Bombyx mori: one gene and its partner. The protein of the gene in region 1 purifies or fractionates together with the protein of each later gene. This does not show direct contact. Links are inferred from orthologs where the notes say so. Each region holds a gene or a part of one and is shown in the gene's direction. Other genes may lie near its edges.

Region 1 (4,104 bases):
TGTAATACAATAATCCAGTGATTCAAATTAATTACCAAAAAAAATAATGTAAGAAGATTAAATATGCAATGTGAGACAAACTATAATGTACATTAATTCATTGATTATTACTTACATACTGATAATGAACATGTAAAATATAATTTTAATACATAAATCTACAGTAAAAATAACAATGAAACAACTTTTAAATTTCTTTAATCCAAATATGATAATCTTTTGTTAAAGAATAAAACTCACCATATTTGTAATTTAACTTTTTTGCCATCAAGGTCTATTGTTCGAATTTTAAAGTCGATACCTGGAAACAAAAACCCATTGAAACTGGAGGGACTAATTAAAATTAGTGAGTATGATGTCATTAATTCTAGTGTCCTTTAAATTAATAAGGGTTTCGTTATAAAGGCCGCGCCCTGATCATCATGTATTTAAAAAATGAAACAATGAATAGGAAACAAAAAACACTTCCATTACCTACAATAAGTGTACAAAAAAATTCTTCACTGACACTTTTGATCTGAAGAAACCACTTACCAATTGTGGATATAAAGGAGATGTTAAATGCATCTTCAGAAAATCTAAATAGTATTGATGTTTTTCCCACTCCCGAATCTCCGATTAGAAGTAATTTGAATAAACAATCGTAAGTTTTTGCCATTTTTACAACAATCTGATTACGCTAATACACATAGCCTGCCATTCATTTGGCATTTTTCAATCTCCACTAGTGATGTGAAACGAATTTTAATTTTCTATAGTAAATTAGTCACATGAGATACTGATTTTTTTAATAATAGTTAAATTGAAAAAATAAACATTTATTTACATAAATTATGTAAAAAATATTTGTAACTTAAATTTATTTATATGAACTATAAATAAGGAAGTTTGTTTATGATTATAAGTAATTGATATTTGATTTTTTTTTAATTTTTTGTGCTAGGTGAAAAGTGTTGATTATGTGTTTATTTATGATTTGGTATTTTTAGCAACTACTTCTAATTTATGACTAAACGAAAATATCGAGAGGTCGTTGCTCGTTTGTTAATAATGCAATCCACGTTACTAGTACAACAATAACAAAATTTGCATTTAGCCGTTTAAGTTACATTCCTTCTGCCTGTCCAATGCTCAAATTAAAGGAAAAATAATGACATTGACTGTTGACATGACTCAATTTTCAATTTGGTTTAAAATTTAAAATTAGCATGCAGTGTTGAGAGTTGATGCTGTTTATGTATATTACTAAAAAATAACAATAAAACAAATCTAATTGAATGGAATACTAATCGTAATTTGTCCACCGCTGAAAAATGTTCTACCACGTATGATATTTTATTTTCCTGTTTCACTCTGTTTAAAATGAACGCCAATGCATTCGTTTTGTAAATAAAACTTTTCAGATTTCATTGGAGCACGAAATTTTGTTACATCCGAAATATTTCGGTCCACAACTATTGGAGACAGTCAAACAGAAGCTATACACTGATGTGGAAGGCACCTGTACTGGCAAGTAAGTCGGTATTAATTGGCCGTAGGCCCACTGAGTTATGTTCGAACAAGACCTAGCGACTTGATTGCGATGTGAGTAACGCTTCGCTAATTTCCACATTATATTTATTTCTGTAACTATGGAGTGTATAAAATACTTTTCATCTTTAATATCGGAAATAAATACTGGAATGAACTGTCTTCCCTGCAGCTGCTGCTCAGAAGTCGCACTCTACTCACAAGTGTTACATGAATAGAAAATAAGGTCTGAAATAGGCTTAAACAGGAACTGACAGTAACTTTTGCTTTTTATATTTATTATTCTAGATCTGGGATGCCCAAACTATTTCCATAGCCCATAGCAAAATCACTTTTACAAAACCCTTTCTCTAGTTTTTTTCCTATTAATACAAAACACTTACCAATTTTAAAATTTGCTAAACTGATCCCGTTAGCAATCATCTAAGCAATAAAAAAAAAAAACATTAGGAAACCTGGCTCTAGATAAATTATTTCATGATTTATGGAACAATTGTTAAAAAGTGGTTATCTGAGCCCATAACAATTATAATATCAATGTATAATTATTATAGCAACATCAATGTATAATATCACTTAATGATAAATTGAGTTGATATCTCAATGGCATTCCAAACTCCTTTACCACACTTCAAACTGGAATGAAGGATTGCTTTGTGGCAAAAATAAACTAGAGGGTGGTTGGTATTCACTGAAAAAAGCTCAAATATTGCCTTACTGCCATTACATATTTAACTAACTGTTCTCTGAATTTATTGTGCAATTTGTGAACAAAATACAGTGAAAAGCAAAACATTTTTAGATATGGATTTGTCATCGCGGTAACTCAAATAGACAATATCGGAGCTGGTCTCATACAACATGGACAAGGGTTTGTCATGTACCCTGTTAAATACAAAGCTGTTGTGTTCAGACCATTCAAAGGAGAAGTTTTAGATGGTATTGTCACACAAGTAAACAAGGTGACTTAAACTATTAAAATTATGCTTAATGTTATTTCGGGTGAGTTGGAATCTTTTCTGAAGTAAGATAGTAGAACTGGTAATTCCTAACAAAGTGAAATTAATCACAAATAGAAACTTACAAAATAACAAATATTATAAGTTAGTTTTATTATATTGCGGTTATATTTTCAGAAAAAGTTTCCTTCACCCTGTAATTAATCTAGAGTATGCTGTTTTAGTACCACCATTTATAAATCAACAGTTTACTTTAGTAACACCTACCCCCTATTTATACGGTACCTATTATACTTGATTTTGGCTTTTTCACATTATGTAAATTTATGAAAATGTATACATTGGTTGCATATTAACATTATTGGGTCTCATTAATTTGGCAACACTGATGCAATAATGTACTAGTCTCTGTATTGTGGTATGTCACATGCATTAAGTGAATTATATACCTTTAATATGTAACCAAACAGAAAGTAGATCATGAAAAAGCAATTGAAAAAAATATTAGTGCTGTAGTAGTAGCGGAAGTTTATTTTACATGCTTTCAAATAGCACAAATAAAGATTTTATTTTACACTGTTTTGTAACTGATATATCTTCAGTATAAATAGGGGATAGGTGTATACTAAAATGTCTCTTTTATTAAGTAAAATAAATCAAATTTAATTTAAAGAGCCACTTACAAGGTTTTCCGCCCATAATTTTTTTAATACCGTTGTTGTCAGGCCCTCTTACAACTTATCTGATGGCAAGTAGTAACTATCGTTCATGTCAGTAATGCCAAGGGCACAGCCACATCAAGTCGTAATTAAAATTGTAAATTTACTATGTTTAATGTTTTTAGGTTGGCATGTTTGCGCAAATAGGACCTCTCAAATGTTTTATATCCCATCATGTGAGTATTCAGAGTGAATTATATAATTAAGCTTAAATTATTTTAAAATTATCAAGAGTATTCCTTCCTAAAAATATTGAGCCCCTCAGCCCATCTACCAATTACACCCGTTTGGTGAAAGATCTTCCCTTTGTCTTATACTACCAAATAATATTTTATAACCCAGAAAGGTTTACAAATTTTTGTACCATAAAATGAAATTATAAAAATATTTTTATTTTACAGTCAATACCAGACTATATGGAGTTCTGTCCTAATGTAAATCCTCCATGTTATAAGAGTAAACAAGAGGATAGCGTAATACAAGAAGAGGATGTGATCCGATTAAAGATTGTTGGTACGAGGGTTGACGCGAGTGGCATTGTAAGACATTGTTTTAATAATTATGTTTAAAATATCCATGATGGAATATTTGTATATAAGTATATAGTAGAAAACTAATCAGTCCTCCATTTACTTTCAACATAAGTTGGTCGTGCAATAAAAAAATAATAAAATAGTCACAATTGCTATTAAGTCATGTGTTATATTGTAAGGTGTCACAGATTCTGCTTTGAAAAAAAAAACAATCTTTTTGTTTTTATTACTGACATTTATTTTTGAAAAGGTGCAAAAAAAGTTTGAAATGAAATTTATTTAATTCAAAAGCTAAACATAATGTCGAATTCTGGACAATTTTTTCATAGTTTTCCCTAAATGTATATTGTAAATCACAAGAGT
Region 2 (4,353 bases), on another chromosome or scaffold:
TATGATTCTTTGTTGTCAAAGTGAAACATTCAGTATTTAACCAGATACAGCTTATGGATTCGACTGTCCCTTTCAAAATGCGAAACATGAAAATGTTAGACATTCTACCCATCAAACTGGATTTCCCGACTAAATTGAAAGAGTCACCATAGTACAACCAACCAGTGTATGCTCCCAGCATCCTGTACCTCAAAAAAGGATAAAGTAAGAAAACGTGTGCTATTTATGTTCATTTGGTCATTGTTTTCATTTCAATGATAAAATCATCTATATAGTTTGTGGTACAATTAATTTGAGTCAAATTATTATCATTTAAATGATCTTTATGATACTTTTAGTTTGTAATACTTGGGTACTTGTTAGATGAAAATCAGGTGATAAATGAAAATTTATGCAAAGTATGATTATTTATTTAGAATACCGTTCCTTCCATGTCTCTTGAGTGTTGAATCTGTTCCTTTAAATTACTTTACTCTTAGATCTCTTGGTGTTCTAGAATTCTTGGATCACATAACTTATACACTAATTATTCCTACATAATATTTTAACTAAGCATTGGACTTGCGCATTGTTTATAATTTGTATAATTTCACTCGTGTACATAATATTTTTCTAGATAATTATGATCTAAAATATGTGTTTACTCTATGATCTAAATTCTATGACATATTTAACCACAGATCAGTAAAACGTTTTTTTATTAAAGGGATTTTATGACCTGGTAACTAAGACCTTTAGATCATATCTTATTTTAATTTATATTCATATTTTTATGAAAAATGGTATTATGGAGTGAAATGAAATGAAATGAAGATGATTAATTTGAGACATTAATCAACTGGGATAAAATTAAATGAGATGATATGAGATGAGATATAATCTATGATATATAATATTGGTGGTCATTTACCTTCATTTACTGAGATTTTTTCAGTGGACTTTTTGGAGGATCCCGAGAAGTTACGTCCAGCGGCTTTGTTTCATTTTCCCACATCTGTGCACTTTCACAGATATTAAACAGTTAATAAATCACCGTTATCTTATACCTTCAAACGAGCAATTCTTGTATATATATATATATATATGTATAATCTGAAACTCGGAAACGGCTCCAACGATTTTCATAAAATTTAGTATACAGGGGATTTCGGGGGCGATAAATCGATCTAGCTACGATTTATTTTCAGAAAATTTTGTTTTATTCGTGTTTACAATAATCAACTTTCCCGACATCTATTGGCGAATAATAATACTATTTAAAGACACAACAAGATGGCGTCATCAAAAAAAAAACGAGCAAAGCTCGGTCATCATCTAGTTACACATTTAAACGTGAAGAAATACCAAATAGACAAAATTATACAACTTCACCCCTCGCGTTCCTGCCAAAAAGTCCTCAGTAAAACGTCTTAAATAGCAAGCATAGATAAGACATCAATAAGAAGCAACAACAACTTAGCAAGGCACAGACTACTCACTTTTTATTGTAAGGTAAGCCTGCCGTTTAAATGCCCCCCGAAGCATACACACGAGTGTACGCCCGCGACTCTTTCGCTACTCGCCGTCATTCCTTTTCGAACTTGTTTGTGGGACCCTTTGGAGTATTCATTACCTGATGCTCCAACTGCTGGGCAACACAAAAAAATGTAGTATCTATGCCACTTCACTTATTTTTCATTATGGAAATTGGATTTTTGCGACACTCTTTGAAACCCAAGGTTTTGGATGTGGCAGCCCTAAACCTCACACAAAATGTTTGGCAGAATTGATTTTACTTAATTGATTTAAAGTAAAGATATTTTAAATGCGGAAGGTCATTTTGGAGATCAAACTCAATAGATGCAAATTTCAAAGCAGCAAAGAAGTATTCCGTGTATAAGCTCTATTTCCTTTCATTATCATAGAGGACGATGTCAAGGCACAACCTAATGAGCTTCTCGCCGGATCTTATCAGTGGGTCGCGATCCCGAGATCCGGTAGTAGATTCTGTGAAGCACTGTTTTTGCTAGGGTCATTGATAGCAAACTCTCTTAGTTTAATACCCGTAAGCTCACCTACCCGCCATAGCGTAATTGGAATAGCTCCATAGCGAATAGGTAGGGCCCGCAGAGTCTATCGAGAAACTTGTTGTTCAGGGTAGAGTAAATGGTAAGAGATCTCGTGGACAAATCTCCATGCGCTGGACTGATCAGGTGAAAGACTTTACTAAAACCCCACTTAACGAGTGCGCACGCACTCGTTAAGTGGGGTTTGCAAATTATGGAAAACATCTGTCAAGGCTTTAATAAACAACAATTTCACATGACCACGACTGCTTTGCCAAGAGCAACCGACTATAATGATGATGAGGGGGAAAAGGATTTAATTTAAGTTCATGGCTTTTCGAATTCTTACACAAATCTCACGAAATATACTTTCTCTCCATTTTACCAACGTTATATCTATTTAATTTTGTTGCATTCTACTATACTTCATTTCACTTCACTTCTTGTTTAAATCACAATATGAGTTCGAATTCACAATTTAAGGTTGAATAGGCTATGTTTCCTTTGTCCTAGTTGACAAAATAACAAAAAAGGGCAAAAGTGACAAACAAACAGCTAGTGTTTTCTATTTCCACAAAAAGTTAACCAAATCCAGTATTTTTAGTATTTTTACCTATATAAATCTTTTAGATTCCATGTGAATGTAGTAGTAGTTGTTGCAAATGTAAGTACAAAAAAAGAATTAGTCAATGTTACAGTAATAACAGGAATTAAGATCGTTAAAAAATGTGAATGCGTTAAAACTAATTGAAAATATATAAATAATGAACAAGATAAATAAAAGGATACCTGGTATCTTGCCGCCGCCGCCAAAAACAGAAATCGATGGAAAAATCACCGATCTATCGTTAAAAACTATTCCTGAGTTGCTTGAACTACGAGATAGACAAATTAAGTTATTAAACAATAAAAGTTTTATATCTAAACTAAGTGACAAAGGTGCTAAAATACAGATTTTGTACGATAAAATCTTATCCGAATTAAAAGCGAAGCAAGAGGAAGAAGATGCGTGTCGGATGTTCGAAAATATGAAACTGAATGGAATTGACAAACAATCCGTACAAGAATTAGAATGGACAGGTACAATTAAACAATCCACAGATTTAGATTCAGATGACGACAGTGACCCTGAAGATGTCCTAAAAATCTTGACTCAGAACTCATTCCATGAGAAAAAAATTAAGATTTTAGAACCTGAAAAACTTTCGATAACCCCTGAAGATCTAATCAAGATAGATGAGATCCCCCACGTAAGATATATAGTTAACAAAACGGAACACAACACCAAAGCCAAAGTAACGAGACAGTTTAAGCCACATAAGACCACAAACACAGATGTCCACAACCCAGAAAAGGAAATACAAAGAGGAAAGAACAAATGTAAAAAATGGGAGGTGACTGCTGCCACACCTCCTCCTACAATACATGGGCCAGCAAAAATATTATCCATAGAAGACTCATTAAAACTCCAGCAAGAACATAACTTACGTCTTAAAGAGGTGAATGCATTACATGCAGCTGAGAGGCTGGCTTCAATGGCTGGAGTCAAAATGAGTCAGTTGCCATTGGATTTATCAAGGTTTGGTTCATACCGAGACACCAATAGTGATGATTATGAGTCTGATGGTGAGGGCAGTGACAAAGAAGTTCATGATGAGGAGCCTGAGAAAGGAGGTGTCATATTTACCATAATGAAATAATATACATACTAAGTTCTAGAACCAAGTTCTCTCATGAGAGCTTAGTTAGACTTACGACTTTCATGGCTCATGCCAGTCCTCATTTTTAAGGGATCAAAATAGCAGGAAAACGACTGGATTGTAATTTAACTGTGTACTTACTGATTTAATGTATAATAATAACAATAATAATAAATTTCTGTCTATTTATGTATACTTCATTATTATCCCTTACAATTCATTACTCTGAATCCGATATAAGCTTAAAGCGTAAAGTATGTAATTATTTGATTAAATAAAATTTCGCAACCTCAAAAAACCGTTCTGCTTACAGTAAACACAGTCGGTAGTCTGGCGCTCCGTTTACAACGGGATTTTTGAACGGAACTTGGCGCCAGATTCTACCTAACCTGTGGATAAAGCTTATCAGATTGATGTAAATGCAAGTCGCTCCCTAACATATACACTTATGGTATTTTAGATATACACTTCACCAGAGCTTGATAGACCCAATATGAGGGGAAAATGTGTATAAAGACAACAATCACGATATATATAAAATACACTTTAAGAGTTGTATTGTTAAATTTCAAAAAGGAGCCCTTAAATTACATTTAATTGAACATGTA

Evidence for each region.
Region 2: the proteins of DNA-directed RNA polymerase II subunit RPB7 (region 1) and uncharacterized protein LOC101743276 purify together in Homo sapiens (affinity purification with mass spectrometry; 4 studies listed by BioGRID and IntAct, counting the BioPlex papers as one, with this or other methods). This does not show direct contact. The link is inferred for Bombyx mori from reciprocal best matches to the Homo sapiens genes POLR2G and POLR2M.

Annotation. Positions count from the first base shown.
Region 1 is NC_085131.1:4,005,986-4,010,089, forward strand, and holds the start of DNA-directed RNA polymerase II subunit RPB7, read left to right. Parts: upstream 1-1,154; 5' UTR 1,155-1,313; coding exon 1,314-1,325; intron 1,326-1,403; coding exon 1,404-1,513; intron 1,514-2,332; coding exon 2,333-2,492; intron 2,493-3,333; coding exon 3,334-3,384; intron 3,385-3,609; coding exon 3,610-3,747; intron 3,748-4,104. Other genes in the region: small GTP binding protein RAB8, read right to left, coding at 241-301, 535-658. UniProt on the Homo sapiens protein: Core component of RNA polymerase II (Pol II), a DNA-dependent RNA polymerase which synthesizes mRNA precursors and many functional non-coding RNAs using the four ribonucleoside triphosphates as substrates.
Region 2 is NC_085116.1:3,263,951-3,268,303, reverse strand, and holds uncharacterized protein LOC101743276, read left to right. Parts: upstream 1-1,483; 5' UTR 1,484-2,809; coding exon 2,810-3,745; 3' UTR 3,746-3,934; downstream 3,935-4,353.